Danio rerio: one gene and its partner. The protein of the gene in region 2 purifies or fractionates together with the protein of the main gene of each other region. This does not show direct contact. Links are inferred from orthologs where the notes say so. Each region holds a gene or a part of one and is shown on either strand. Other genes may lie near its edges. The genes, in order: cdk19 and ccnc.

Evidence for each region.
Region 1: the proteins of ccnc (region 2) and cdk19 purify together in Homo sapiens (affinity purification with mass spectrometry; 8 studies listed by BioGRID and IntAct, counting the BioPlex papers as one, with this or other methods). This does not show direct contact. The link is inferred for Danio rerio from reciprocal best matches to the Homo sapiens genes CCNC and CDK19.

The regions. Positions count from the first base shown.
Region 1 is NC_133195.1:2,985,788-3,002,375, forward strand, and holds part of cdk19 (cyclin-dependent kinase 19), read right to left. Parts: intron 9,273-16,588; coding exon 9,141-9,272; intron 8,614-9,140; coding exon 8,470-8,613; intron 7,363-8,469; coding exon 7,293-7,362; intron 4,866-7,292; coding exon 4,793-4,865; intron 288-4,792; coding exon 190-287; intron 1-189.
Region 2 is NC_133179.1:6,188,772-6,205,838, forward strand, and holds the start of ccnc (cyclin-C), read right to left. Parts: upstream 9,840-17,067; 5' UTR 9,750-9,839; coding exon 9,718-9,749; intron 9,219-9,717; coding exon 9,112-9,218; intron 7,974-9,111; coding exon 7,889-7,973; intron 7,712-7,888; coding exon 7,642-7,711; intron 7,042-7,641; coding exon 6,990-7,041; intron 5,786-6,989; coding exon 5,730-5,785; intron 5,237-5,729; coding exon 5,201-5,236; intron 5,117-5,200; coding exon 5,025-5,116; intron 3,118-5,024; coding exon 3,050-3,117; intron 2,441-3,049; coding exon 2,361-2,440; intron 2,268-2,360; coding exon 2,149-2,267; intron 656-2,148; coding exon 601-655; 3' UTR 1-600. Other genes in the region: ngs (notochord granular surface), read left to right, coding at 10,674-10,924, 12,047-12,215, 12,298-12,447, 12,801-12,920, 12,996-13,091, 13,826-13,960, 14,687-14,797, 14,871-14,981 and 1 more. UniProt on the Homo sapiens protein: Component of the Mediator complex, a coactivator involved in regulated gene transcription of nearly all RNA polymerase II-dependent genes.

The DNA of each region.
Region 1 (16,588 bases), on a different chromosome or scaffold from region 2:
TCAAAATTAAGATTGGTCCTTAGCATACTTATAAATCACACAGAATGAAGTATTTAAGTATACAAATGCAGATTATTTCCTGTGAGGGTGGATTTCAGGGGAAGAGAATATCCGGTTTGTACAGCAGAAACATCATTACGTCGATGAGAGTCCCCATTAGGATATAAAAACAAGTGTGTCAAGACTTACTCAGATGTAGGTAAGGGGTCCTCCAGGAAATAGGGGTCCTGCAGTGCCTGTTCAGACGTGATTCTTTTGGTGGGGTCCATAGTCAGCAACTTCTGCAGCTGGATGAGATGAACACACATCACACTGATTACTCTGAATGGTGATTGGTCAACTTGTTGGTGTCCATAGTAGGGTGTTCCAGCTGTTCATAAGATCCTGCTTAAACTGGAATATAAGGGCGTACTCACACTATGCTATCCGAACCGTGCGCAGGTCTGTTTCCCGGATCGTTTGAGAAGTGTGAGTGCTCTGAATCGGGCTCAGGCACTGTTCACTTGGCCAGCCCTGGCCCTGTTGGAAGAGGTGTGTCAGAGCGCGGTTCACTTGGGCGCTCAGTGTGTGAGTGCAAAACACGCCTGAGCCAGAAACTCAAGAGGAGATGTGACTTTTAGGTGGCTGTTTGATATGGATTTATTAATCATTCTTTTTAATGAAAGCAAACTGTCATAGATTATTAAAAGACGCAAACCCCTCACTGCACCACAGCTGCACCTTCAGCAAACCTCCTAATTCCTGCAGCACGAGGGCTTTATTATTGTTTATGAGCGTCAAAAGTGGCTGATCTGTACGGCGAAATGTTTGACTGCGTGTCACTGCATCCCAAACGACCTAAATGATATAAAGAAATGTCCACTGTTCTGAGCGAGAGCGCTTACTGAACAGCACATCAATGATGACGTAAGCGGGCCCAGGGCCGAATGTAATGTGAGTGCGGGCCGTCGGGGGAGACGGGAGGGGGGACAAGCGTGCTTCAGCCTGGTTCAAGGCAACTGTACATAGTGTGAGTACGCCCTAAAGAGGACATAAAGTCCACACTAGAGGCTTAGTAATTACTAGCTAGTTTGTAACCATAGATACATGCACTAGATGTCGCATAGGGACCCTGAGCATGCGTCAATAGCGCCGCCATATTTGTACAGGGCTCCCAGGACAAGTGTCATTCAACCTCACTAGTCAAGACAGTATTACTACAGGAAGATGCGGTACTTTAGTGCTGTCTAAGCACTAACAAAGAAAACAAAGGCAGAACATTTCATAGGGAAGATTTAGTTTTTTACATTTTTGTATGTTATGAACTTTTGTGCTAAACTAGTAACGTTTATTAGAGAGAAGTAAGAGAAGTAATGATAATAATACTGCATTTACCATAAGGCGAAGGAGCACCAACTCGCACTAAACACTCGGCTTATGCTAGTTTTGTTGAATAAAATCAGCAAACAATGCAAAAGAAATATGACAACGAGATGCTGCGCTGCCAGAAACTTGTATTATTGTCGGCTAAGTGTAGTCGTTTATAACAGGGATACATTCACAAACAAATCGCTCCCTCCGTCACTATGAGAAGTGAAAGCAGGAGAGGAGGTGTGTTTTAAGACACGTATTAGATCAAATTCAACAGGGAGGTGAATAGTACATTTCTATACACACAAACACAAGCTTTTTGTCAGGAATGACCGTGCGATCACTGATCCATCAATGTAGAAAAGTGATGTAAAATTCTAATTTTCGTGATTAAAAAAAAAATTTGCATACTGACCTCCGGGAAATCATAGATATATGCATATATATATATATATATATATATATATATATATATATATATATATATATATATATATATATATATATATATATATATATAAATAAATAATCTGGCTTTAGATGGCCACAATCCTCCACTGCAGCTTGGTCCCGCATTCATTTCAAAGGAGCGCTACTCTGTACTAAAATGGCGGCTCTATTGACACATTCCTTCCAATAGACAACAACAGAGCAGGCGACATCTACTGTATATAGCTATGATTTGTAACTAATATTGTACTTCGGTTGCACTACATGTTCTTAAAGGGTCAGTTCACCGAAAATCATCATTTACTCAACCTTCAGTTCAAAACTCAAGCCATTTTATCTGTTGATTGCAAAATAAGTCCGTTTGAAAAATGTTGGAAACCGGCAACCATAGACCTCCATAGTGTTTTTGTCTCCTTCTATGCAAGTCAATGGTAAGTAGACAGCGAGTGAAGTTTCATTTTTAGCTGAACTATAATCTCTATAAGCCTGAAAGCAGGCTGTAAGCTCTGTATAAGGCGGTGGTTCTCAATTCCAGTCCCTGGGCCACCCCTGCCCTGCACATTTTGTGTGTCTTCCTTATTTAACACACTTGATTCAGATCATCAGCATGTGAACTGAGAGATCCATGAACTGATTCTTGTGTGTCAAGTAAGAGAGACGTGCAGAATGTGCAGGGATGAGCATCTGAGGACCAGAATCCAGAACCGCTGGTATAAGGTAATGCGTAGTTGCATTGAATGACATAACCAATCAGAATCCTTCAAATTGTTAAAGGGAAAAGTAGCCTGAAATATGCGTGAAATTAATGTGAAGTTATCCAAATCATAACACTAAACTTGAAATCGGCACTGGTAGTGCTGTCGCGTCACTGCAAGAAGGTCGCTAGTTCGAGCCTCGGCTGGGTCAGTTGGCGTTTCTGTGTGGAGTTTGCATGTTCTCCCTGCATTCGCGTGGGTTTCCTGCTCCAGTTTCTCCGGTCCAAAGACATGCGGTACAGGTGAATTGGGTAGGCTAAATTGTCCGTAGTGAATGAGTGTGTGTGTGGATGTTTCCCAGAGATGGGTTGCGGCTGAAAGGGCATCATTCATTCATTTTCTTGTCGGCTTAGTCCCTTTATTAATCCGGGGTCGCCACAGCGGAATGACCTATCCAGCAAGTTTTTACGCAGCGGATGCCCTTCCAGCTACAACCCATCTCTGGGAAACATCCACACACATATTCACACACACACTCATACACTACGAACAATTTAGCCTACCTAATTCACCTGTACCACATGTCTTTGGACTGTGGGGGAAACCAGAGCACCCGGAGGAAACCCACACGAAGGCAGGGAGAACATGCAAACTCCACACAGAAACGCCAACTGAGCCGAGGTTCAAACCAGCAACCTTCTTGCTGTGAGGCGACAGCACTACCTACTGCGCCACTGCCTCGCCCTGAAAGGGTATCTGCTGCGTAAAAACGTGCTGGAAAAATTGGTGGTTCATTCCACCGTGGCGACCCTGGATTAATGAGGGGACTAAGCCAAAAAGAAAATGAATGAATGAATAAACTTGATCTCATGTTAATAGTAGCCCGCAGATGAACAGGCAAATAAACAGGAAGAACAATTCAGACATGAAGGAATTCTCACTTCAATTGAGCGATACAAAACAAAACAGAACACTCCTTAAAACGAACCTTGTCTGTCACAAACCAGAATGAATGAAGGTGAGATTTGGCAGGACATCAAAAACTAAATCAAATCAAAACACTGAGCAGAGGGAGATGACAGATGAGAACATGTGCTTCCTCAGTATCAACCCGGAGCTCCTCAATGTAGACTAATCTGCTGTCGCCTCTTTCTACTGTTTGTCATGGGTGGGGAGGCTGCTGTAAATATGTTTCTGGAACTCAGAGATATGACTAAACCAAGTTCAGTGGTGCACCAAAAAATATTTCGTAGTAGCTGTAACTTAGGCCCAATCTCAATTCTACCCCTTATCCCTTCCCTTCCCTTTTGTGTGTTCTCGTGAAGGGGTAGGGCTGTCCCAATTATAGTTAATTTGAAAGTGTAGGGCTAAGGGGAAGGGGTGAATAGCCCTTCGAATGGAGATTTTTTAGGACCACACTCAAAAACAAGAGGTAAGAAAATTTCCCAGAATACACCAGCCACAACGGCAGGATAGCTCCACCCGGAAGTAAGAAGATCAACAAATTAGTATTTTTTTGTCATTATTACGAATTATTTATTCATTCATTCATTTTCTTGTCGGCTTAGTCCCTTTATTAATCTGGAATCGCCACAGCGGAATGAACCACCAACCTATCCAGCTCATTTTTACACAGCGGATGCCCTTCCAGCTACAACCCATCTCTGGGAAACATCCACACACACTCATACACTACGGACAATTTAGCCTACCCAATTCACCTGTACTGCATGTCTTTGGTTTGTGGTGGAAACCGGAGCACTCGTAAGAAACCCACGCGAATGCAGGGAGAACATGCAAACTCCACACAGAATGGCCAACTGAGCCGAGGATCGAACCAGCAACCCAGCGACCTTCTTGCTGTGAGGCGACAGCACTACCTACTGCGCCACTGCCTCGCCAATTACGAATTTTTACAACAAACAAACACGTTTGCATGTTCTCTCTGTATTTGCGTCGGTTTCCTCCAGGTGCTTCTGTTTCCCCAACAAGACATGCTGTATAGGTGAATTGGGTAGGCTAAATTGTCAGTAGTGTGTGTGTGGGAATGAGTGTGTATGGATGTTTCCGAGTGATGGGTTGCAGCTGGAAGGGTCTCCGCTGCGTAAAACATGTTAAATAAGTTGGTGGTTCATTCCGCTGTGGCGACCCTGGATTAATAAAGGGACTAAGCTGAAAAGAAAATGGATAAATAATCCTGGCCTAAGATGGTTTGCTCACTTCAATATCTTATTTATTAGGGCAAAGTTGACCTTTCAACAAACAATCAGATACAGTGAAAGCATGAAAAGACTCACCAGTAGAAACACTTTGCTGTCTGGTTTGACCTTATGCTTCTCCATGTATTTGATGAGACTGCTGTTGGCATATCTGAAAAACACAACAGAAACGTCACTATATGATACGTTTCTGCACGCTCGGTCATCAAAACTATGGCTGCATCTGAAACCGCATACTTGCGTACTATATAGTACGCTAAAATCAGTATGCGAGCCGAGTAGTACGTCCGAATTCATAGAATTCGAAAAACAGTATGCGAAAAGTACCCGAATGACTTACTACTTCCGGCGAGATTCTGGAGTGCGCATCCCATGCATGCTGCGCTATCCCATGATGCCCCGCGAGCGAATTCATGAATGGGAGTAAAGCGACGCAAATTACGCAGGTATGTCACGTGACTATGTCAAAATGGCGGATGTAGTAAGTCCGAAATCCATTCATACTTTTTTACAAAAATGATACTGTATAGAACGTATTTTTCTAACGGCCGAGTAGTACGATTAAATTCAAATGGAGTACATACTCAGGGCCGGAGCAAGCTGAACTGCTGCTCCAGGCAAAGGACGGTCACGCTGCCCTCAACCCTAAAGTGAAAGTCGCCCTCTCTATTCTGCCACCCTAGACGCGGATATAACTGAGGGCGCGGGTGGTGAGGGTAGTGTCGCGGACATCGCCCTCTCTATTCTGTCGTCCTAGACGCGCTCACTATTCTGCCTTTCTAGACGCGGATATAACTGAGGGCGCGGGTGGTGAGGGTAGTGACGCGGACATCGCCCTCTCTATTCTGCCGTCCTAGACGCGCTCACTATTCTGCCGTCCTAGACGCGGATATAACTGAGGGCGCGGGTGGTGAGGGTAGTGACGCGGACATCGCCCTCTCTATTCTGCCGTCCTAGACGCGCTCACTATTCTGCCGTCCCAGACGCAGATATAACTAAGGGCGCGAGAGGTGAGGGTAGTGTCAGGGACGCCGCCCTCTCTATTCTGCCACCCTAGGCAGCCGCCTAGGTCGCCTCTATGGACGCGCCGGCCCTGTACCTACTGAGTAGTAGGCTGTTTCGGACACAGCCTATGAGTGTCGCCTTAAACCTGTGATGTAAAGTTACAACCTACAAAAACTCAGACTCCTGTAGTTGAGTAGTTTTTCTCAGGAATTGTAATTCACTAAGTAGTGTACTTTTACTTACCCTTGAATACATTTTTAGCAGTGTTGGGCAATAACACGTTACTAGTAATGCGCTACTATAATGCATTACGGTTACGCATTACTTTTGACAGTAACTAATACAACGCATTACTTTTTAAATATATTAACTCTGTTATCCTTACAATATAATGCTTTTGTCCGTTACTGGGTAGGTTAATTAATTTTGGCTGCAGTCTAGCTGACATGCAATCTTCCTGTTTACAGGAACTCATTGTGTGATTGGTGGATGCCAACCAACCACTTTAAAGAAGCACCAAGTGTGCGTGCGAGAAACCAGAAGCCTCATGTACAAAGACTTGCGTTGAAATAATACTAAACATCGCATACGGACAAAGCTGTAAACGTGCGTACACAGTAAAAAATTCAGATGTATGAAACACTGCGTACGCCGAATCCCACACATATTCTCTTTGTACATTTTTGTACAATTAACGTTAAACTGAGCGCACGTGCACGAGCGCAAAACCCTCCCGGCCTCCAACCCTATATAAATATGGTAATGACTCCACTTTGGCAAAACCAAACGAAAAAGCAATGACAACCCTGCTGAAAAAAACAGCTTAAACCAGCCTAGGCTGGTTGGCTGGATTTAGCTGGTCGACCAGGCTGGTTTTAGAGAGGTTTTGGCCACTTCCAGGCTGGTTTCCAGCCATTTCCAGCCTGGTCTTAGCTGGCTGGAAAATGACCAGCTAAATCCAGCTAAAACCAGCTTGAGCAGTCTGGTTTAAGCTGGATATAGCTGGTTTTGACTGGCTTCCAGCCTGGCTAGGTTGGTCAAGCTGGTTTTAGCTGGTCATCTTCCAGCCTGACCAGCTAAGACCAGACTGGAAATGGCTGGAAACCAGCCTGGAAATGGCCAAAACCCCTCTAAAACCAGGCTGGTCGACCAGCTAAAACCAGCCAACCAGCGTAGACTGGTTTAAGCTGTTTTTTTTCAGTAGGGAAAAGCCAGCAAGAAGAGAAACTTCACAGAATGTGAATTGGAGGTGCTTTTATCGGAGGTAGATCACAGAAAAGCAGTGTTATTTGCAAGTTTGTCCTCCGGAATTAATAACAAAAGAAAAAAATAGAGTGGGAGAGTTTAGCTGACGCGGTTAACGCAGTGGAGACTGAACATTGCACGGTGAGTGAATTATAAAAAAGAAGTCAGCTGTTTTCATTCAGCACAGAATCACAACGCCGCTTTGCTGTATATTCAATAAGACTGATTTACTTCAACAAATGTGATTAGACTTGGAAATACATAAACTTAATAAAGTTTTGGCTGATGAAAGAAACGGTGTTAGTATGGAAGAAAACACTGCACTTACGTGGTTCTTCTGAAATCTTTCTGTAAGGTAGGATACTCTGGCATTTTTCTGATATCTTCCCAGTCTTTATCTATAGGAAAAAGGAATCAACTTTACATAACAGTGCACAGTGATGACGTTCTGATGCTCGGTTTGAACTGCAGCAGATCGTCTTGCCCATGCCAACATGTTTAAATGCATTGAGTTGCTGCCATGTGATTGGCTGATTAGAAATTTGCGTTAACGAGCAGTTGGACAGGTGCACCTAATAAAGTGTATATATCAGTTCGAGAAAGGTTTGTTTGCCTGCCCTGCTGAAAAATCCAGCTTAAACCAGCCTAGGCTGGTTGGCTGGTTTTAGCTGGTTGACCAGCCTGGTTTTAGAGGGGTTTTGGCCATTTCCAGGCTGCTTTCCAACTATTTCCAGCCTGGTCTTAGCTGGTCAGGCTGGAAAATGACCAGCTAAAGCCAGCTTGACCAGCCTGGTTTACGCTAGATATAGCTGGTTTTGGCTGGGCTCCCAGCCTGGCTAGGCTGGTCAAGCTGGTTTTAGCTGGTCATCCCCCAGCCTGTCCAGCTAAGACCAGGCTGCAATGAAAAAAGTGTTGCATGCAGAACTGTTGCAAACAATTTGTTTGTGTTGAATTTAAACAAACAAATTAAGTTTAGTACAACTTAATGTTCAACTTAATTTGTTTGTTTAAATTCAGCCCAAATAAATTGTTTACAACCTCTTAATGTAAAGAAATTGAGTAAATCCAAGGAATCATCTTCGAATAATTTTTTTCAGTGTGGAAATGGCTGGAAACCAGCCTGGAAATGGCCAAAACCCCTCTAAAACCAGGCTGGTCGACCAGCTAAAACCAGCCAACCATCCTAGGCTGGTTTAAGCTGGATTTTTCAGTAGGGTGGTCATTGCAGGGTTTGAAAGTCACTCTATTATTATCATTTTCTTGTAATTTTGCTATTATAATGGCTACAAATAAACTATTATTTTATATAATCTGCCAAAAGGGTAAACAAAATAATGTTGGTTTCGCTTTGAAAGTCATTGGTTGATAATTTTGACATATTATTCCTTAAAACAAGACATTATTTTGTACTTGTCTAGAAAAAGCTTCTTGCTTTAAGAATTTTGAGATATTTAGACTAGAAACAAGACATAAACTTTAAGTAAGAATTATATTTTGCAGTGTACCTGCTGGGAAGCCCATGACGCTGAATATGCGATCTAACTGGTCGTGATGGAAAGGATTGCTGGTCTTTATGTCCTCTTGTCGACAATGGAAGATTGGCTCTGACGTCAGCAGCTCCGCAAAGATACAGCCTATTGCCCAAATATCTACAAACACAGTCAAACAATGTTAAGTGCAGATAACAAAGGGTAGATTGGCCATGAGCAGGGCCAGACGGAATCTGCGGATGTGTTTTTGCTATTTCTGCAGAGAAATTTGGTAAAAATTTGTGGATTTCTGCTGAATTATTTTGGGAGTATCATAACTAAAACCTTAATATATGAAATAAAAAAAATTATACCTTTTTAACTTTTATTTAATGTTCAAAATGCAAATTAGATTTAGCTTTTTTGGTAAATAAAGCAAGTCTCTTAAATAATATCTCTTCTAAAAGCCGGAAATAATACTTACTGCATTGTGCATAAATCAGATGCCCTAACCCTAACATTTTCATATTAGTCAATAATGTTACTGAAATTAATTTAAAAACTGAATAAATTTAGATTTACACACATTTACTCAAGTAAATAAACAGAATTAATGATGGGCTAAAAATCTGCGGAAAATCTGCGGAATTCTACGCAAGCAGATTCCGTGTGGGCCTAGCCATGAGTAAAGTCGACGCACAGCTCACCGATTGCTTTGGTGTAGTGTCTCGCCCCGAGGAGCAGTTCAGGCGCCCGGTACCAGAAGGTGACGACCACTGGGTCCAGATCAGCCAGAGGCTTCAGCGGAGAGTTGAAGAGTCGAGCAAAACCCATATCAGCTACGACACACAAGCACAGACACACGTGAATAAACCATATAATAAACCATTCAGTCTGCAGATCACTCCAGCCTCAGCTGAGCTGTGCTCTTTTACTCTACACTGCAAAGAAGACTTTTCTCATGTAGATGTCTAGATCAGATATCTCTTAAAGGGCCAGTAAACACCCCTGTTTCAGCAGGGTGTTTTCACACCTCTAGTTTGAAAAAAGTCAGGAAAGTGAGTGTGTCACTTTTTTATCCCTGCTAAAAAATCCAGCTTAAACCAGCCTAGGCTGGTTGGCTGGTTTTAGCTGGTTGACCAGCCTGGTTTTAGAGGGGTTTTGGCCATTTCCAGGCTGGTTTCCAGCCATTTCCAGCCTGGTCTTAGCTTGGCAGGATGGGAGATGACCAGCTAAAACCAGCTTGACCAGCCTAGCCAGGCTGGGAGCCCAGCCAAAACCAGCTATGTTGGGAACGTTGGGTTATATGTTGGGGTATAATATAACTGTTTTAAAAGAGTAGTGAAAATGAAGTGTAATCACTAGGGATGTAACAATATTGTAAATACCGTCATACCGCAATAGTAATTTTTTTCAATATTACCGTAGGCGCATGACTCAATAAAACTATATTTCTGAGAAAAGTTTGCTCAGGCGAATGAAGCGAACGGGAGGTAGCGGGAACTACAATTCCCATCAGCCCAGGCGTGGCCATCATCACAGCACACTTGTTAGATTGAAGCAACCATTGACTTGTACAGCAAAGAGACCTCTATCTCACTCATGGTTTGTCCTCTCAAGTGGTGGAAAGACAATGCACAACGTTACCCACTGCTGTCAACCTTGGCTAAATCATATCTCTCTGTCCCAGAAACCTCAGTCCCAAATGAGAGGGTTTTTTCTATTGCAGGGGACATTGTAAATGCCCAGAGATCCCAGCTTTTACCAGATTATAGTTATATGATAATTTTCCTTAAAAAACCCATCTCTATCTAAGTGAGTGAGTGATTAAATGTTGAATGTGATGAGTTTTCAACAATACTACATTGAAACTATTTTTTTTATATGGTTTTATAGTTTTTTGTTATTAAAATTGAAAAATTGAAGTTCCTGTTTCGAAACTTTCAGATAGATGGTTAATTTGTATGTCATTGATATGTTCAGTGCTAAGGTAAATAAACCCTTTTAGCACTTTTTTCGAGTCTTTTTATTAGTTTGTTTTTACTGTAAATTTTTCAATAAATACCGTACCGTGCCATTCATACCGAGGTATTATCGTACCATTAAATTCTAATACCGTTACATCCCTAGTAATCACTGTGACAGAAATGAGCTAAAGCAGCACATTTTGTTACAAACACTCCAGACACAATTAATAGTGAAAAGTCAAAGTGAAACATTATTTTTTAAAGCTTCATATAAGGTAAAATCGTGGGCCGTGTTTCGTCCTATAACCAGGCAGAGACTACAGGACTCAAGAAGACCACTTCAGGCCAGCAGTGCTCGAGGCAGCATGTACGATTAATAATTCATGCTTTCTCACTAAGAAATGCACATCTTGAGTTGAATGTAGCAGTATGTTGAGCTTAAAGGGCTAGTTCACCCTAAAATAAACATTTGCTTACTTACTTTCCCTCAATTGCTTCCAAAACTATGTTTCTTTCCTACTATGGAAGTCAGTGGTTACTGGTTTCACCTTTTTCTGTGTTCAACATGGGCGGCACGGTGGCACAGCACTGTCGCCTCACAGCAAGAAGGTCACTGGTTCAAGCCTCGGCTGGGTTAGTTGGCGTTTCTGTGTGGAGTCTGCATGGAGTTTGTGTGGAGTTTGCATGCTCTCCTCGTGTTGGCGTGGGTTTCCTCTGGGTGCTCCAGTTTCCACCACAAGTCCAAAGACTTGAATTGGGTAAGCTAAATTGTCCGTAGTGAATGAGTGTGTATTGGCATTTCCCAGGGATGGGTTGCAACTGGAAGGGCTGTGTAAAACATATGCTGGAAAAGTTGGCGGTTCATCCTGCTGTGGTGACCCCAGATTAATCAAGGGACTAAGCCGAAAAGAAAATGAATGGATGAATGTGTTCAACAGAACAAAACAGCCCAAAATGGTTTGGATCAAGTCAAGGCGTGAGAAAATGATGGCAGAAACTTTCGCTTTTTTGGGATGAACCAGTCCTTTTAAGTTGCACTAGCAAGAAAACGTTTATACCCAATCTTGAGCCCTGGATTAAAAGATTAGTTTCGCTGCTTAAGTGATGAAACAGCAGTGGTCACGTTGAGTCAAACTAACGCTGAAAGACACACAGTAACCAAACACAATAACACATTCCACATGGTGGTAAAAATAGTGCCCTGAACACTCATCGCCCAGAATAGAGTCTTATGTAAAACAATGGCTTCACATTTACCCAGTCTGACCCTGATGACCGCCGCCTAAGCACTCTAAAGCCTAGTTCACACTACATTGCTGCATCCCAATTCGCATGCTATCCATCCTTAATTCTTCATTTTCTTTTCGGCTTAGTCCCTTTATTAATCTGGGGTCGCCACAGTGGAATGAACCGCCAACTTATCCAGCATATGTTTTACACAGCGGATGCCCTTCCATCACTGGTGATCATCCATACACCCTAATTCACACTCATACACTATGGACAATTTAGCCTACCCAATTCACTATAGCGCATGTCTTTGGACTGTGAGGTAAACCAGAGCACCAGGAGGTAACCCATGTGAACACGGGGAGAACATGCAAACTCCACACAGAAAACCTTCTTGCCGTGAGGCGATCGTGCTACCCACTGCGCAACCGTGAGTCCCCCATCCTAAATAGGATTTGAAAATAGAATTAGTTTGTTCCAACCGGTAGCATGCAGAAAAGTGTAGAACCGTTCGCCAATATCGCCCACAATACATTGTGCTTTGGAAGTGAATTCAATTAGAACAACAAACTTGGGGGAAAAGTGTAAACAAACTACAAACATGGTGGACATGCAAGACCAACCGTCAAGTAGAGAGAAGATGTTCGAATGACTATTACTTAATATCTAGACAACTGGAAGATATTTAAATCACATTTCCTGAGTTATAAACCATCTGCAGCAATAATATGAAGTTTTATAAAGACGTGTTTGGACTTCTGAATGCATTACACAAACACCTGCAAAGATCTCTCTGCATGAAAGAATCACAAATGGCAGATTAACACAGATCTGAAAAGACGAATGACCAATCTACGTCACACATGACGTCACACAGGTTCCCGGAGTCAAAAAGAGACCGGTTGCAATAGCAAACATGTCGTGTTGTGCTGTAGGATGTGTTGGAATATCTAGGCAATTCTATGTGTGTTCAATAAGAAAAGGTCTGGAGAGTGTTTTCTTCAATGCCAAAAATATTAGTAATTTATTAGATACAGATGAATAATTCAATGACAGAGCTCTGGGTTATGGTACCCCCATGCAATACAAGAATTACATTCAAAAGGTTCACAACTAACTTACTTTTCCTGACTCCAGCATATATACACAACTGATATTAACAGGTGGAGTGTTGGTTTAACGTCACTGATCAGTCATTCTGCAGTCCCTTGGCTCTTTGTAACCCCTAGACATACTTCCTCTTTTTGCAACCCTTCTTTGCATACCAGAACTGAACAATTACATGCATCTTTAATATATTTCACAACTTCTACAAAGATCATGCTCCTTGTGACTTGTCCAGACAGCAGTCTGGACCAAACCTAAATTTATTCTTATTCTGCTTTTTCCACTAGTCAGCAGTTCTTCTAAAAAGTATGCAGCACAGTAAAAAAGACGAAGTGTGTCTGGTCAAGATGTGTTATAATACAATAGAAAAGATTGATTAATCTGTTGTTAGCCTAAACATATTTCTAATAAAAAATAAAGACACAAAAGTAATAAAAATAAATTCCTTTTTTCCTACAGATGACAAATTTGAAAAGTCCACAAATAGAAAACCTAACTTTTACTGTACACCACACTGCTTTAATGCAAACTGCACACGTCTTTGGCTAAAAGGGAGCTGAATGAAGTGACGACCTATTTAAAAATGCTGGACTCTGCAGTTTTCATGTCATATCAGGTAAGTTCACGCTATGCTGAATCATACTCATTACTCATTTTACTCATTCAGCAATAATTTCAGCAAAAACAGTCACATATGGTGAATTAAACTGCGGACACTGAAAGCTAAGAATGAAACGTGAAAGTGTAAGTTATGAAGGTAAACTTGGTTTTATATACACACATTCATTCAGTGACAACTTGTGACACACTCCCTATATTGTTTACCACGGCACTTTGAATATTTGGTCTGAAATAACCAGCAAGTGTGACTTCATTAACATCATTAACACTGGATATTTTGTTTATTATTAACATTGTTTATAAGCCGGCAGCTAGTTCTTTGCAACTCTCACATGGTTGCCCATTGAAGCAAGGCAGGGCTGTGCCCGGTCAGTACCTGGATGGGAAACCACATGGGAAAGCTGGGTTGCTGCTGGAAGTGGTGTTAGTGAGGCCAGCAGGGGGCGCCCAACCTGCGGTCTATGTGGGTCCTAACGCCCCAGTATAGTGACGGGGACTCTATACTGCTCAGTGAGCGCCGTCTTTCGCATGAGACATTAAACCGAGGTCCTGACTCTCTGTGGTCGTTAAAAATCCCAGGATGTCCTTCGAAATAAGAGTACGGGTTTAACTCCGGCATCCTGCCCAAATTTGCCCACTGGCCTCAGTCCATCATAGCCCGCTAACCCTCCCCATATCATTGTTGGCTTCATCACTCTGTCTCCACCAATCAGCTGGTGTGTGGTGTGCGATCTGACGCAAAATGGCTGCCGTTGCGTCATCCAGGTGGATGCTGCACACTGGTGGTGGATAAGAAGATTCCCCCCTATGTGTAAAGTGCATTGAGTGCCCAGATAAGTGCTATATAAATGTAAGTAGTAGTTATTTGACTGTGAACAATGTTGTACTTTGATAGTCATTGGCTGCTAATATGATTTCTCTAGTTAGAGTTTGCAAATAATACTTTTATGACAATATATTATTAAGGAGAAAGTCTGAATTTGCGAATATAAAACCAACTTTTCCTCTATGTGTAGGTTCACATATCCTGCCGTACAGTTGCAGTTCGCTGTCAGAATGCAGTTTGCTTGTTGATGATTACCCAGGCCTTGTACAGCTCCGTCTTTCCTTGTCTTTGGCTAGACAGAACCTCGGTTTTTAGCACTACATAGTTTTGAATCTGCCAATCATGGAGCATTATTTCTTGCACATGACCACACAGAACACTGTTGGCATCCAAAGACTTGTAGGGCTTTAACTTCTCTCTTGTTAAAACACCTGGAGTTTCAATGAGATTGTATATTTGGGGCTGGATGCTTGGCTATTTTTGTCAGGGTTCTGCCACTCTGATCTTGTATATTCTTGTTTTGGTGGCAGATCTCGGACACTACTCGTGTCTGGTCCTGTTTCTGTCTCTGTGTGCGCGCGCGCCGTCGTGGGTGTACGCAGAGTGGGCGCGCTCCTGCTTGACGCGGCCGCGCGCGCGCTCTGCGTCCCTCAGACGCGTGCGCTCTTGTACTCGTGTTTGTGTTTTCGTCTGTCAGCAGCATGGTGTTTTATTGTCTTGTTGGTTTCGGTTTTGGTCGGCGCTGGGATGAAGCATGCATGCTGCATGTGTGACCGCACGGTGAGTGTTTTCATTCATCGTGTGCTCGTGTCTTGCGTCTTTTGTCAAAGCACGTGGCTCGGTGTTTACATTGTGGTCACGTGCTTTTGTCGTGTGCTTCAGTGTTGTGTTATGTGAGCGCATGGCTTGTATTGTCTCTCTGTGTCATGCGCTCTCCCGTCTATTGTCTTGTCCCACCCACCTTGTTACCTTGTTTGTAATTATTATTTTCACCTGTCCGCCTGTCTGTTTATTGGTTTGTCTTTCCTATTTATTCTCCTAGTGTGCTCTGTTCTGTGCTGGTCCGTTATTGATTGTTCCCTTCCCTGTTGCTGATTTCCATTCTACAACAGCGGTTTAAAGTATTGTCTTGAAAAGTTCCAGATCTTGTCTTGTTGAGTGTGTAATATAATGTTGTGTTTTTCCCCACATGGGGAGATTTGAGTTTTGTTTTTGTTTTATTTTTTCATTAAATTCTTCATTCCCTGCATTTGGGTCCTCGCCTCCTCTTCACCACCCCCATACCGTGACAATTTTGTCCTATCCAGTATCCATTGGGAGAATGCTATCGCAAATAGACCTGTCAGATGAACGCCGCTCACTCTGTTAATTTTGCCAAATCACTGTGCTTATCACTGGGTGGCGAGCTGTTCTAATACACTGAAAGCACTATGTAAATAATATATATATAATATGTAATCAATATAACTTATCTCTAAGACAACAACAAACTCTGTACCGCATCGGATGTCATTCCCTCGCTGTACAGTAAATGCTAGCGCTCCTGTTTTTTTCTGCAACCCCGCGCATCCTGAATGTTTACAAACATGGTCATTTGTCCATATCTCCTATAAGGGAGGTAATTAAATATGACAGAAATGTGGATGATGTGTCGAGATGATTTACAGGGGATGTAACCAAGCAATTAGAAAGTAGTTAGTCCCAAAGTTTGCACACTCCTCTGTCACACACTCAAAACAAATGTATTTTTATAATACGTCATATGTATGCGAATTGGGAAGCAGCACATGACTTTAAACATTGACAGATCAGACTACATGACTGCTTCTCAATTCCAAGAACACAGAGAATATTCTTGTCGAGTTACCTCAGGAGACCGTGGGAACAGAGAACGCGTCCTGTGAGAAATGAGATGCTGCGTTCATCCTGGTCACATGACCTTCACGCAATTTAATTGGGAATTATTTAAGCATTACAGCATTCATACAGCGATTTATTGTCTTCTTTTGGTTTTTCAGTAGATATACCACGCACAAATGTCCTACCAAGATATTAGAACAATATAAATAAAACAGATTTGACTTTGAAATTCAGCAAATAAACACCTTTAATGTGTTTATGGCTTTATTGGGATTCTCATGTGATTGTTTACTACCACCGTATCATTTGGGGCAACTCCTGAGACAATCAAGTTATCTCTGAACTTATATATAATTTGGTATATAAGCAGCTGTGCTTTCCACCTCCTTCATTTTGCCGCATTGACTTCTGGGATTTCTAATGCAAGTACAGTGCTCAAGTCTGCATTAGTGTAACAAGGGATGTGACGCTGACAACAGGGGTGCGGATCCAAATGCAGGATTATTGGCGAGGTCAGGGAAGCAGTGGTCAATACAGGGGCAAA
Region 2 (17,067 bases):
CTGAGGAATACAAAACTGTGATATGGTCGACGAGAGGCACGCATACAATAATTCAACAACACACACACACTTTCTACTCTTCACTCTCAGACACAGAGGAAAAATGTATTTTTTGTTCCCAAAAGAATCTTCAAATCAACCTTTCAAGAAAGTCAGGACCATTAAACACATACTTTTATGCTTATGTGTGTGTGTGTGTGTGTGTGTCCAAAACATTCAGCACTACAGCCTTAAGCTAGACAACAAACTCTATATCAAAGCAGATTTCCTATTGGTGAGCAGTTCGCTCCCCTCCTGCTCTGATTGGTGGAAGGACGGAGGTAGAGTCTTTTTGTCTGCTCTGATTGGTGGAAACAAGTGGCATCATTTTGACTGCTCTGATTCGTGGAAGGACAAAAGGAGGTGGAGTCTGCTTTGATTGGTTGGAAGATTCCAGAGGAGAGGAAAGAGAAAATCTGTGCGTGTGTGTGTGTGCCAGGAATCAGTTTCCTCACGATCAGAAAACAATGTGCTTGTGAAAATCAGCATTCAAATGTGCCAGGATGTGCCGTTTTTGCCTCTCTGGATCGCTCTGCCTCATGTCCACCTGCAGATGGCGCTCTAGGACTGACTGTACGAGCTGTTTTGACTGCCGTTTGAGCTCTGGTCAGTCTCGCTGAAGTCAGAAGAGCAAGAAGGTGCAGGCACAAATATCAGATGTTATTACTTTTGAACTTTATTCTTTATACTTGGACTAAGATTCATTTTGGCAACTGAAATAAAGCTGAAAATAAAAATGTAATATACCAGCAACTTGTTAACCCAAAAACACATGAAAATTACACAATCCCTTGGCAACTAACTGAAATAAAATAAGTTAAAGATAAGGTAAAGCAGTAGAATTACCGAAGGTGAAACAATAAATGCATTTTTTTAAATAAATAAACAAAATGCTATGACAAGGAGCTTTTGTGCTTCTCAAAAAACTAAAATTCAAAAAAAAGTTTTCAGTAAACGAAGTAAAGCTTAATGAACAGAAGATATTGCAAAATTATGAAATAAATTTTTTTTTTTTTTTTAAGTATTTATGAAAGTATTTACATAACATCTTTCAAAACCATGGGCTAAATCAATATTATTATAATATTATTTTCCACTTTTCTAAAAATAACAGTAATACAAGAATATGAACAAATACTTTAATATCTTTACCTTATTAAAATTAAAGTTACTGAAGTGTTTATTAAGATTTTAATAACTGTAACTTTAATAAGTAAATTAATAACTTTAATAAATGCATAAAGCATAATAAATGCATAATAAAGCATGTTTCATTATTACTCTGTATGTTGAAAACCAGCAGATTATACTGTGCAGTTTGCATGTCATGTTCTCACAAGCTATGAGACGATAACTGTTTTTAAGGTATACGGCGGTTTGGAAAAGTCAAGCTTTTAAAATTTGTCTGCAATACCATTCCAAAAGTATGAGTACACATTTTTATTTACTTTTTTTTTTGTTTTTTAGGACAACAGTATTTTCAGCAGAAAAAAATATCCTAAAATGCTGTTTGAAATTGTAAAAAAAAATCTGTTTTTTAGATAAATAAAGACAGCAGAAGCCAAAAATTCGTTGGTTTACTTTTCCAAAATATTTTAAATGTTTCTCAAAATAAAATATGTTGAGTTTAAAAGGAAATTTTTGTTTTTGTTTTTACTCAGACATTTGAAAGGAATAAATTTTAGAGCAGTAATCACAATACCGTGATATTTTTATCCAAGGTTATCATACCGTCAGAATCTTATATTGGCACATGCCTGGTACTTACAGTAAGTTTCTGCTTGATAAAATATTATATAAAACAAATGGAAGTTATTAAAATCTTAATAAATACTTTAATACCTTTAACTTTTAGAATTTTGCATATAAACCTTTCATACAAGTAAAATTCAAATGTATGAAATAAAAGAAAATATTAAACTTTGCAAGGATTCACCAAATTTTGAAATAGCTGCAAAACATCATTGAATGAATGAGCGTGTTAAAATGAAGTGTAACACAATTGTACTTTTCCTATTGTTACTCTTTGCAACAGGGTTACACACACACAAAAAAATACTGTAGTGTAACATGAATAACTGAGAGGTAAAGCACTGCAATCCATCTTACCTGTTAGGAGGAGGTTTGGGTTTGGGCACCTTGTTAAGCACAGCGGCGATTTCCTTCCTATCGTCGAAGTTCTTCCACTGGTCATAGAGCTTCAGGATCACCCTGATGATCTCCAGGATCTGCTCCATACCAGACATTCACACACACTTACAGGAGACCAACATCCAGAAAAAAAAAAACATTCACTTCTTTTACACCTTAAAGAGTCTTACCTTCTCCATGTCCACAGAGAGCTCAGCAAACCACTGTCTGGCATCTTTCTGCTGAACCACACACGCCACATGCAGGCAAGCTGGAGGAGGAAGAAAACAATTGTTATGCAGTTATTCAGATATAAAACTATAGGCTAAATGATAACTACTACTACTAAGACTACTAATACTACTATTAATATTAATAATAATAATAATAATAGTAATAGTAGTAGTACTAATAATAATACTAATATTACAACTAATATTAGTAACAATACTACCATTAATACTACTACTACTACTACTAATGATAATAATAATAATAATAATAATAATACAGGGTAGATAGAAGAATCAGAGTTAAATTTAATAACTCTTTAGACATTTTTAAGACCCTTTCTATAAATTTTAAGATGTTATTGCAACTTCAGGTTTCAACCGATAACATTGGCGACATTTTAACTCACAGTACATTTACTGAATACTGACTGTAAGAAAGCAAAACTAAAGAGCCTTAGCTTGTGATATCGCCACAGCAATGCAATAGAATTCAGAAGAATTATTCAATGCAATAGAATTCACGAGAATTATTTACCTGACTAGCCTATGAAAGTTTCAGAAGATTAGTTAAAATAAAACTTTGTGGGACGTTGGCTAATTTTTAATCAGCTCTTACATCAAACTGAGCTAAGAAATGTTGTTCTTACCCAGTGCAATCATAAATGGAGGGTAAAGCAGACACAGGTCTGTTCTGTAGGTGTCGTTCACTATTCTCCTATAAACACATGAAAAACCATTCAAATCAGACATCTGTATACATTTATCCATCTTGCTTTTTAACATGTGAGACTTGTAAAAAACAGTGATCAACAACAGTGCAGTAAAATGTGGATCTAAATGGCAAAAAATGTGTGCAATGCAATGAGTTTGTCTTGTTTCTAGTCCAAATATCTAAAACTTCTTAAATCAAGAAACATCTTCAAGACCAGGAGTGTCCACACTGCCCTGGAGGGCCGGTGTCCTGGAGAGTTTAGCTCCAACCCTAATCAAACACACCTGAACAAGCTAATCAAGCTCTTACTAGGTATACTAGAAACTTCCAGGCAAGAATGTTGAAGCAAGTTGGAGCTTAAGTCAGCAGGACACCAGCCCTCCAGGTCCAACTTTGGAAACCCCTGTTCTAGGCGTTTAAAATGTTGTCAGAAAAAAGTCAAAATTGAGTGAGTTTTTCCTTAATGCTAGCAAAATAATCTGCCTAATAATCAGGGGTGAGTAAAAAAAATTTTTTTTGGTTTGCAATAAGATTGTTTTATGTACCCCATTGGCAGATTATTTTGCTTGTTTTAAGAAAAAACTCACTTAATTTTGACAACTTTTTTCTGAAAACAAAACAATATTTTTACTTGTCTAATGTCTTGATATAAGAATATTAAGATATTTTGACTAAAAACAACACAAAAAACTAAATAAAAAAGCATATTTTTGCAGTGTGCTGAATAATCATTCTATATATAGTCAGATATACATATTCTATATGCAGTATATAGTCAGACTGTAATGTAATGTGATGTATTTTTTATTTACGGAAATAAACCATAGCAACAGCAACCAAGGCTATTTTCATGGCAAGAACATTTCAATAATAAATAAACAATTTAAAACAACAAACAAATAAAAACACAAGTTAAGTAAGATATTTTTGTGTTAATAATACATGATAAGAATTCTGGTTTCACTTTGCTAAAAATGTCCTTAAGAGAGTTCATTTCATTAAAAAAGTCTTCTGGAATTATTAAAAGCAGGACAGTCCAGTGAAATGTGTGGGGAGTTGTGCAGAACAAACATTGAGTGGGGTCTTCATCTTTAAGTGAAAAGGCGTGAGTTAATCTTGTATGTCCAACACAACATCTAGTAAAAATCACTCGATCAAATAGTCTTAAAATTCTGTTTGACATTTCAGGTTGTATTTCATGTAATTTATTAATTTCCAATGCATTCCACTCCTCTTGCCACTTATTTAAAATGTAGATGTTGATAAAAAGGTATAGTCAGACTGAAACGCCTCAATAATAAGAGCTTCAAAAAAATGTTCAACATCAGAAAATTTGTCTAACAATAATTTCGGTTTGTTTTTCACCAAACCTTATCATATGTCTACAGAATAATTGCAATACATGGCATTTGTTACATGGAATTATTCTTTGATATGTTTGCATTTTTATTCATATATTAACATTATTCTTATATTTACACACCCTCAAACCTTTATAAACCTTTGTGTTTATAAAGGCTGCTGAACACAAAACAACATACTTTTTGAATGTTTGAAACAGTTGACCACTGACTTCCATAGTAGGAAAAAAGTCAATGGTTACCACATTCCAACATTTTTCAAAACATCTTCTTTTGTGTTCAAAGGAAAAAAAGAAATTCAAACAGGTTTGCAACGAGTGAAGATTGGCAGAATGTTCTGTTTTGGGTGAACTACCTCCTTAAGTGTGATTGTGATTTAACTACCATTACACAGGCATGCATGAGCATCAAGAAGTTCTCATGCAAAAAGGAATGAACAGTATAGGGCATTAAAAAAACAACAAAGAGATAGACGATTGGGCGAACAATCCCTTTAACCAGCATATAAAAGAAGTAGAGGTTTCTACTGAATCCACACACACTCCTCACCAAGCCAGCGGCAGCAGCATGTCCTCCTGCCCCATGTCCTGCACATACTGCAATAGCGGCCTGTACGGATGATACACGATCAGACAGCAGTCCTGAAACAAAACCAAACCAAACATCCATCAACAAACGCTGAAAACACAACTTCAAGACAACCTCAAGAATCCATCAATACCAACCATGAGCTCCAGCAAGTAGAATTCACACTCCAGGATCTAGCGAGATAAAGGCATAAGTTCACTGTGAAATCATGGCGTTAGCATGTTATGCGCACTAATTGGCATTTTCCCCCCTTTACTAAATGGAGACCGCAATGTTTCCTTTACACCACCTGACTAGTGCTGTGCTGAATAAACAACACTGCTAGTAATCATATGGCACTTATCACCAGCCCGAGACATGAACGGCCAAAACCAGAAGTCATCTATCAGGATAATGAGACTTTCCTACGAAGGTGTTGCGAGTGTGAGGAATTTCACTCCTGAACGGGTGTCAGAAACACTGCATCATCAGCACACACACACTCAAACTCTCGACTAGTGTTTCCATCATATGAATCAGACAAGTTACAAGAAATTATTATCTGGATGTATAGTGATGCTGTCAGATTTCCAAAATCTCCTAGTGAAGTCATGCTCTCGGGAAAGACTCTCACATGACGGTCTCATCATGTTTTCTGATGTAGTGAAACAAAGACGTTTGACTCACGTGGTTCATTCTGAAGGGAAACTCCTTTGGGAAGGCATAAGAGAACCTTGTTTTCACTATTAAAAAAAGAAAAGTCTGAGAAATACATATATATTACAAAAGTGACTATTGAGGAAGACATTAAACTGTTTTTTTAGTATAATCGGGATATGCTTATATTTTGTTTTCATTTTAGTTTTTTCATGATTACATTTTTAAACACGTCTATATAGTGTTTTGTTAGTTGTTTTTATATATCAAATTAAACTAAATTAAATTTAGTAATAGCAACAATTCCTTGGCTATTAGATCAAATAAATTACAATATAATATAGATTTTCTTATTTGAATATATTGTGCAACTTCATATAATGTATATATAAAAAGTGTTTGTATATGTATATACAGTTGAAGTCTGAATTATTAGCCCTCCTTTGATTATTATTATTTTTTTAAATATGTCCCAAACGATGTTTAACAGAGCAAGAAAATTTTTACAGCATGTTTGATAATATTTTCTCTTCTGGAGAAAGTCTTATTTGTTTTATTTTGGGGAGAATAAAAGCAGTTTTTGATTTTTTTAAACACCATTTTAAGGACTAAATTATTAGCCCCTTTAAGCTATATTTTTTCGATTGTCAACAGAACAAACCATCGTCATACAATAACTTGCCTAATTACTCTAACCTGCCTAGTAAACCTAGTTAAGCCTTTAAATGTCACTTAAAGCTGTACAGAAGTGTCTTAGAAATTAGTTATTAAAACTTTTATGATTAGAAACGTGTTGAAAAAAATTGTTAATCAGAAAATGGGGGAAAAACTAAACAGGGGGGGGGGGGGGGGGGGGGGCTAATAATTCTGACTTCAACTGTATAAAGAGTTCAGATGAAAAAACTTCAGTGACGTCTGAAATTTTCCTCTAAAAGTTGTGTTTTTCTCAGCCTCCAATATTTATGATCAGTTACTCCACTTTAAAGGCAATGCAAATAACCTATTATTTGCCATAAGAGTAAAATTACTGAAGTGACACACAAAAGCCTGAGGAAAAATGCTAATTTTAGATGAAAATCTCAGATGGGACTTTTCTCTCTTTATATACAAAAAAATAACTTATTATAAAATATACAAGTACAATTTAAACTATATATATACATATAATATAATACATATAATATAACATATAATAACATAATAATAACATATAACATATAATATAATATAAAATACATATATTTTATTAACATAAAAAAAAATTATGATTGTAAAATATAACCCACTTACACACAGACGTTGCTGCTGAAATAAGCCGAGTGTTTGAAACGACACCAAATTCCTGTTGACAGCAGAATTTTAGTGTTAAAATGCAGTTTCAAACATCTTTCAGCAGAAATCTGAATAAATATTGTGTTTACAGTGCTCAGTACACCCCTCACAAATCTCTCTTTTAAGTTAATATTTTCTATAGGATGATTTACAATATTATATTTGTGCATATACATTAGTTTAGTCAGTACTGAAGTCAAATTCTGGAGCTAAAAATATAAAAAAATAAAAAGTTAAAAAAAAAGTATGATGACGGTCTAAAAATTAGGTCAAATGTATATAATAAGACAAATATTAAATAAAATTGTAAAAAATAGAATAAAAATCAAGAAAAACAAAAAAAATGTAACATATAGTTGAAATTTCAGTTTGTCATTTTTTTGCAATGTTTTGCATGACTGTACATGCATTATCTTTCTATTTCTAAAGATGATTGGTGACAAAAAAAATATTTTAATAAATATATCAGTTTAATAAATCTGTTTTGTTCAAATATGCCAAAATCTATTACCTATGATGACTGAGACATGGTAAAAAAATATTTATTTTCAAAAAATGTTTTACTCATTTATGCCAAGCACTTTATATTATATACAGACAGAGTATTTACCTCTACTTTAGAGGCCAGAAACACACATGTTGGGGCCATTAACACAGGGTCAATGCTCTTCAGAGAGTACCTGAAAAAACAGCCAAGAGTTTTTCCTTTTATTTCATGAACTAAAGAGTACTTAAATGAAAGCCACAGAACAAAAATAGAGCACCACATTACATGAAAAACACAAGAGCCTAGATGAATCTAGAAGAGGAATCTTTAGAAGAAAACAAGCTTTTAATGATGGCACTGCACTGCTCACCTGGCATAGAAACGCTTAAAGTAGACAGTTGCCGTGGCGATGACCTGCTGTCTGAGTTTCAAGTGTTCGCCCAAGGCTTGAATCACTGTCACAAGAGGACGAATTAAACATTTTAAAGTGTTTAAGCTGTTTAAACTTTTAGGCTTTAAGTTAGCTTTGCATTTAAATCCCAAAACCAAATACAAATGAATACAAAACAGAAAAAAATATATACATTTCAATTAACGCTCCACAGTATATGTGGTAACCTAACACTTGGTCATATGGTCAAAAAATTAAGGCTCTAAGCATCAAAACATAAAGTGCCATTATTTTTCATACATTTACAGATAACTCCCCCTAAAATGTCTAACATCAAATAAATCTTGAAAGATCAATCATCTGATGATATATTAACAGATAACAGTGTAGCCCAAAAGTATTGTTATTTAAATATGTTAAAATGACAAAAAAGATTTACCAATTGTCAACAAAACTTATTTAAAATACAACAAAATTGAACAAGATCACCTATTGTTTGCATATTTTTAAATTATTACTACATTTAAATGATATAAATACCTTTGCAAACATGAAAAATATATATTTATCTATTACACCAAAGTATGAGGAAACAATATTTTCACAAAAGCTATTTAAAGCATGAAAGTAGACACTTTACTCATAGTTAATATGCTTACTATGCATAATAAAAACTCATGTTAATAAAAGTTGTTGCACATTGTCTCTTAAACCCATCTATCATTAATTGATCGCTCATCAGATGAGAGACTTTTATTGATTCCTAAATTTAGATTGAAATCTCTGCAGCTGCTGCTACACTTTGGAATGATTTCCCCGTCTTCCATTAGATTAGCTGCAAATCTGTTTCGTTTTTAATCCAAGTATAAAAACTATCTTGTTTGACAAAGCACTGAACACATGAATAAGATTTAGTTCATATTTTACTGGCGTTTAACCACGTAAAAGCTTTTAATTAGCCTTTTTATTTACTTGTTTTTGACTTATTCTTGCTGTTTGTGGATTTTAGTTAATGTTAAGCACATCCGTCAACATGGGTTGCTTTTAATTATGCTATATAAATGAACTGCCATTGTCATATAACATGAGTAAATACTATATTGTTGAATATTTTGGTCTTGCTTTGCACTTAGTCTAGAAATACAGTTTCAGATTCAGAAAAGAGAAAACAAAACAACTAAATAAGCAATTTCTCATCAAACCATTGGCAAAAAATATCTGCAGTTTCCAGTACTCCTCTTCTGTGAGGAACTTGAGATCTTTCTGTCTCTCCTTCATCAGATCCTGCTTGTCCAGAACCCACTGCAGACTGAAAAGAACAAAGACACTTTCAATTCACAAATCATTAAAGTGTAACACACATATATTAATATTTACGTGTAATAAATACACTCTACAAGTCAAACAACAAATGTATCAGTCACTTCATATCTGGATATTAGCATTAAAACATTACTTTAATTGAGTTTATAAATGTAAATTTAATGTGTGAAAATGAATTCACGTAGTAAATAACCGATATTTATGCAAATGATTCACAAATTAATTTCTCTGTGGTTTCTTCACTAGCCAGACAGCTAAAGCTAATAAGTCAACGATTTAAACTATTAGATTTATAAAAGTCAAATAATCTAACCTCCGTATTTGAGTCTTGGTTATGACCAAAATGTGGTACTTTGTTCGCATTAATAATTCAAATATGACAATTGAAATGTTTTTTTATATCTCTTATGGTCCCGTAACCGCAGCAAAACCCCCAAAAATCCTTTATTGTGCGTGATTTAGGTAGTAAATACGAAAATACTTACTAATGTGAACTCTGCCAGAAGTTCCCTGCCATCTTGAGGTAGAAAATAAACCTTAATGTGCTGTTAAATTGTGTTTAAAATAATCGATGCTCCGTTCAGATCAGATGAGGAGCGCGACAGAAAAAACACTCCGTGGAACTTCAATGTGAAGATTAAAACGGTCCGGGAGGAAACAAACAAACGCATCAGTTCCGGAAGAGTTTTTGCGGACTTTACTGGCATCAACTTTATATTTATCTAATCGAAATTATTTTAATATAATATGATATAATATAATATATTATAATATAATATAATATAATATAATTAAATATAGTATAATATAATACAATATAATATAATATAATATAATTATAATTAAATATAATATACAATATTATAATTTAATTATAATTAAATATAATATAATATAATATAATATAATATAATATAATATAATATAATAAAATATAGTATAATATAATACAATATAATATAATTAAATATAATATACAATATTATTATTTAATTATAATATAATATAATATAATATAATATAATGCAATATATTATAATATAATGATATTGTTTTGTATTAATATAGATTCTCATGTTTTTTGTCTTTGACAGCCATAAACAAACTTTACATTGTCATTTTTTTATTACATTATCATTTGTTTTTACCCAATATACAAGGCTACAGTGACCATAAACCGTTAATTTATGATTAATAATTAGCATGCACCTCCTCGATGAAGTCAACACCAGGCTACTGTCAATCTCCAAAAAGTTTTCGACACTTTTAGTGCAGAGAATGTGATTAATAAAGATCTCAGGCATCAGGAAAACTCGCTCCTCTATTTTTACTGCGGTAAAACTCTTCGCGGTGACCCGTCAGATTGTTCAGCAGCGGGTTAAGTTCAAGTCAGCCCGAGGTTCGAGATTCCTCTGCGGGACAGCAGGTATAAAACTACCGCATGAATGAGTGTGAGGATACAATCACACGCTTCTGTTTCAGGACCACCGGTTTCAACATGAGCTACAGCCCGGAGAGGATGTCTTCTTACCGCAGGCACTTTGAGGGAGGCCTGGCCGCCTCGTCCACCCTCCAGGTCCGGGTCTCCAGCCCTTCTCCAACTCGCGGGGCGACTAGACACCGGTCCGCCAGCTATTCCCGCAGCACCGGCCGCAGAGCGCTGTCCGGGACACGCAAATCACGCATGACCAGGTAAAGAGACATCTAATGTAATATATTTAATGTTCTCTAATAAACGTGCTCATACTCAACAATCAAATACGTATGTAGCCTAAATAAATAATAAAAAATTTGACTAAGTTTTAATTTTAGGAAAAAACTTTACCATAGTATTTCACTGTGTTATTTGTAGCCTAACAAATGTAATGTAAAATTAATGTTCTGTACTGTAAGTGCTCATACCGGACAATCAAATAATGATGTAGCCTAAAATATAATTAAATATTTTACTGTGTTTTTAAGAAAAATATTATAATTTTACTGTGTTATAATCAGTAGCCTATAACAGATTTAAGTTAAAAATATGTAAATCAATAATTAAATATTTTAACTGTAGGCTATATATTTTTAGGAAATAATAGGCTATACTTTTATTAGCAGCCTGACACCTTTAATGTAAAGAATAATGCAGAATAAATAAGGAAAATAATATATTATTACTGTGTTATTAGTAGCCTAACACCTTTAATGTAAAGAATAATTTATAATAAATAAGGATAATAATATAATTTTAGTAGTCTAATTTGAAGAAACTGTATGTAAAAATAATGTCACTTTATGAGATATACATTACATGACTGAGCAGGCTACAGCTACAATAATATTTTAGTTAAAAGATAATACAGCTACATGACATGCTAAATACTGCAAACCTTTCAACACATTTTATATAGTTTTGGTTTCTCTTGATTTGTCCTCTTTTTATTATATATTTTTTCTTAACATACAAAATTGTGCTATTATTTTAATGTAAAGAATAATGAATAATGCTACCTAATATAGGCCACCATACTAGACAATCATTACTATGGTTAAATAAAATTATTATGTAGGCTAATCTAATATTTTTTACTGTATTTTTTGAGAAAAATAATATAATTTAATAATGAGACAATAATGAAACATTATTTAATATAATATAATATTACTTCATTATTATCAATAGCAATGTTTACTCAGTTATTACTGCGTTCTTACTACTAGTCTAATTTCTTTAACTACAGTCTGTATTTCATATTGTTTCGTGAAACATATTTTTTAAATATTACAATTGACTGTAATAACATCTCTTTGCATGTCTGATTCGCTCCACAGCAGCGTGAGTATGGGGACGCTGTGTCTCGGGATGGGTTTTGGTGGTGCTGGAGGTGCAGTGGATCTGGACGCTGCGGCCGCTGAGAATCAGGCTTTCCTCAGCACACGCACCAGCGAGAGGAAGGAGATGATAGCCCTCAATGACCGGCTGGCTGTTTACATCGAGAAGGTATAAAAAACGTCATGCCTTTCACTGTTTTGGCTCTCTCTTTGTGGTATCTATTTTGAAGACCGGTGTTTTGTTGGTCCAGGTACGTTCTCTGGAGCAGAGTAACAAGCTGCTGGAGACTGAGATTAATGCCATTAAAGGCCACCATGTGAAGCCGTCCGGCCTGCGTCTGCTTTATGAGGAACAACTGAGGGAGATGAAGAAGATTGCAGACCAGATGAAAATCCAACGGGTGAGACATGATGAACCACAGAGCCACTAATGCACACACTATTCACCAATTTGCCCTACTCGCTCATAGTTTTCCCCCATAATTTTATTTTCACAAAAGTTATGTGCATCTAATTATGTGCATCTAATTAAATGTAATTATGTTAAATTAAATGTCTATTTAATCTTTATTTTTCATGATTTTATTATGATTAAATCCAAAAAATATTGACTTTGAAATGAAATAACTGTGTTTTGGCAAATGGCTGAAATGCAATAATAATAAAAGCAGAACCCCGGTAAAGTCACTAATTGACCGACACTGATTGGCCTATTAAATGTGGCCATATTTAATGTATGTATAATGTATTACAGGACCTGGCAGTAGCAGCAAAGGATGCCATGGCAGGTCAGCTGGAAATGCTGAAGGTGAAATACGAGGAGGCGTTGGAGGCCAGGAAGAAGGCAGAGCTCGAGATTGAAGCCTTCAGACCGGTAAAGTCCAATGTAATAACAAAAACACAGCTGTTTTTACATAACAATGGTGTCTAAACTCCCTCTGTCCACTAGGATGTGGATGCAGCCACCTCTGCCCGAATTGCCTTGGAAAAACGACTGGAAAATCTGGAAGTGGAGCTCGAGTTCTTGCAGAGGATTCACAAAAAGGTGCACAACACGCAATTTACTCACAGCCACGCTGTTTGCTACTCAGCACAAGTTGATTGGTCAGATTCTGCAACCAATGAAAATGCTTGTTTAACAATTAAACATTATGGCTCAGTGTTCACTGTAAAATAAGCCAATTTGAAGCCCTCCACATCCTCCAGCATCACCTGTCTAAACCTCAAATGGTATGCATGTGTGCTACTTTATAGTCAAAACCCCTTCCCCTTCCCCTGAGGGTGCTTTCACACCTGTAGTACCTTTGGTTCAAACCAAGGGTAAACATTATACATTGTAGCATTTTCAGCCATTTTGTTTCTGTTTCACACCAGACTGCTCCGAACCAGTTTAAATACACCAAAATATAACAGCATCCACATCAGTGTATGGCTGGCCGCATTTTCTAAACTGCATTTTGCTAAACTTCCTAAATCCTCCAACTGCACCTGTCTAACTGTGGTGATGGAGGATATATGTACACCTATTCATAATCAAAATAACTTTCTGTTCCTCTTCAGTCATATATCTTCCCTGATTACATGTTTAGTGTGAGGGCGGGATCAATCTGACAATCAAATAAAATCGACCAATAGCAAACAACAACCATACGATTTATTCACAATAGACGAAATCAAGCCCCTCCTTTTTCAACCTTTGTTTGAGGAGCTGTTTTTCCCACAACAGAAAACAATCTCAGCTTGAATTTTTATTATTGTTTTTTTTTTTTTTTCTGTCAGGAAATCGAGGAGTTGATGGCTCAAATTTATGGATCTGTGGCTAAAGTAGATGTGGCCTTCTCTTTGCCCGATCTGGCGTCTGCCCTCAAACAGATCCAGGCTCAGTATGACAGTATCGCTGCGCAAAACCTCCAGGTAAAAATAAATACAGTTGAAGTCAGAATTATTAACCCCCCTCAAATATTTTTCTTCATTTTTAAATATTTTCCAAATGATGTTTAACAGAGCAAGGAAATTTTCACAGTATGTCTGATAATATTTTTTTCTTCTGGAGAAAGTTTTATTTGTTTTATTTCGGCTTGAATAAAAGCAGTTTTTAATTTTTTAAGCACAACTTTGGGGACAAAATTCTTAGCCCCTTTAAGCTATATTTTTTCTCGATAATCTACAGAACAAACCATCGTTATACAATAACTTGCCTAATTACCCTAACCTGCCAAAGTAACCTAATTAACCCAGTTAAGCCTTTAAATGTCACTTTAAGCTGTGTAGAAGTGTCTTGAAAAATATCTATTAAAATATTATTTACAGTCATCATGGCAAAGATAAAATAAATCAGTTATTATAGATGAGTTATTAAAACTATTATGTTTAGAAATGTGTTGGAAAAATTTGCTCTCCGTTAAACAGAAATTGGGAGAAAAAAATAAACAAGCGGTCTAAAAATTCAGGGGGGCTAATAAATCTGACTTCAACTGTACTATGAAATGCTCAATCTGTCATTTGTGTATGATGAGATGATTCATCTGAAGGGGCTCATGCTCTTAATAATAATACATTTGGAAATAAAATGTAAACAATGCCACTTTTCATAGCACTGAACCTGGATCTTTTTGTGTTTCCTTGCTGGCGTGTGTCTAGGATATGGACGCCTGGTACAAAGGAAAGTTTCAAGATCTAAACAATGTATCGTCTCGGCACATGGAAACAGCGAGAAGCGCCAGAGAGGAAATCATGGGATACAAGAAGGAGGTGAGGGAAAGCGTGGGTCACTATTAACACCAAATGATGCAGAATTATTAACATTCTGCACACGTGTTTACAGATACAGAACAAACAGAGGGAACTGGATGCCCTTAAAAACAGGAATGAGGCACTGCTGCTGATGATCAAGGAGGCGCAGGAGAATTACAGGAAAGAGGAGGAGGAGCTACATGTAAGGACACGCCCCGATACTAAATACTATTATTAAATTCAACTCAAGTTTATTAGTATAGCGCTTTTCATAATAAGTATTGTCAAAGCAGCTTTAATAAAGGTGTACATTGTTGCATTACAATCCAAATCAGAGGTTGTTAGCTACCATAACTTTATTAGTTCCTAATAACCGTAACTAATTAACAAGTAACCAATAGCTTTTAACAGTTAAAGTGATTATATTCAAGCATACTAAAAACATGTTTGTTTTGATCATGTGTAGACGCGTATAGAGACTCTTAAAGAGGAACTGAGGTCTATCAAGGGGAAGATCGCGCTGCTGCTGAGAGAATATCAGGATCTGCTCAATGTTAAGATGTCACTGGAGATTGAAATCACCACATACAGGTACTGCCATTGTATCATATTATCTTGAGCAAGATATTCATTTTTGTTTAATTGACAAGACTGTAAACATCCCGAATCAATAGGGGTGTAATGGTCATTTAATGAAATTACTTAAAAGGCAGAATTTAAATGGGTTGAGGCAAGCAAAGTCAAAATATTATACATTTTATTATTATTTTATAATACATTGGCAAGGCAAGGCAAGTTGATTTATATAGCACATTTCATACACAGTGGCAATTCAAAGTGCTTTACATAAACAGGAATAAAAAAAGACAAGTTTAGGAACATAAAATGCAGACAATAAAATTATTAAAAACAGATGAAAACAAATTAAAATGAGTTAAAATAGGTTATAAAAGAATGAAAAAGAAAACGAAAAACATAATAGTGCAATCTGTCGGATGTAGCACAGTGCTCATACAGTAAAGGCACAGCTAAACAGATGTGTTTTCAGTCTCGATTTGAATATGCCTAATGTTGGAGCACATCTGATCATTTCTGGAAGCTGATTCCAGCAGCGAGGGGCGTAGTGGCTGAAGGCGGATTCACCCTGCTTAGACTGAACTCTTGGAACTTCTAGTTTATATGATCCTAAAGATCTGAGTGATCTGTTAGGTTTGTATTCAGTGAGCTTATCTGTAATGTATTGAGGTCCTAGGCCATTTAGTGATTTATAGACAAGTAATAATACTTTAAAATCTATTCTGAATGTAACTGGGAGCCAGTGTAGAGACCTGAGGACAGGTGTGATGTGCTCTGATTTTCTGCTTCTGGTCAGAATCCTGGCCGCAGCGTATATTACATATTATGTTTATTTTCCATATTTTCACCCATACAGTAATTTAATTTAGTTTTCAAATGTAAACAAATGTTATTGTTGCCTCAAATTCAATTACTAATTGAATCACATCAATAGCTGCCTATATTTATATATAGGCTTGGTTAATTAGGCAAGTTAGGGTAATTTGATAAATCATTGTTTAACAGTGGTTTGTTCTGTAGACAATGGAAAAAAAATATAGCTTAACGGGGCTAATAATTTTGACCTTTAAATGCTTTTAAAAATATATAACAACTGCTTTTATTCAATCGGAAATAAAACAAATAAGATTTTCTCCAGAAGAAAAAATGTTATAGGAAATACTGTGAAAAATTCCCTGCTCTGTTACACATCATTTAGAAAATATTTGAAAAAGAAAAGAAAATTACATGGGAGGGCGAATAATTGTGACTTCAACTAATATACAGTTGAAGTTAGAATTATCAGCCCCCTTTAAATTTACTTTTTCTTTTTTAAATATTTTTTAAATGATGTTTAACAGAGCAGGGAATTTTTCACAGTATGTCTGATAATTTTTTTTCTTCTGGAGAAACTCTTATTTGTTTTATTTCGGCTAGAATAAAAGCAGTTTTTAATTTTTTAAACACAATTTTAGGGACAAAATTATTATTAGCCTTTTTAAGCTATATTTTTTCTAGATAGTCTACAGAACAAACCATCGTTATACAATAACTTGCCTAATTAACCTAACCTGCCAAAGTAACCTAATTAACCCAGTTAAGCCTTTAAATGTCACTTTAAGCTGTATAGAAGTGTCTTGAAAAATATCTATTAAAATATTATTTACAGTCATCATGGCAAAGATAAAATAAATCAGTTATTAGGGATGACTTATTAAAACTATTATGTTTAG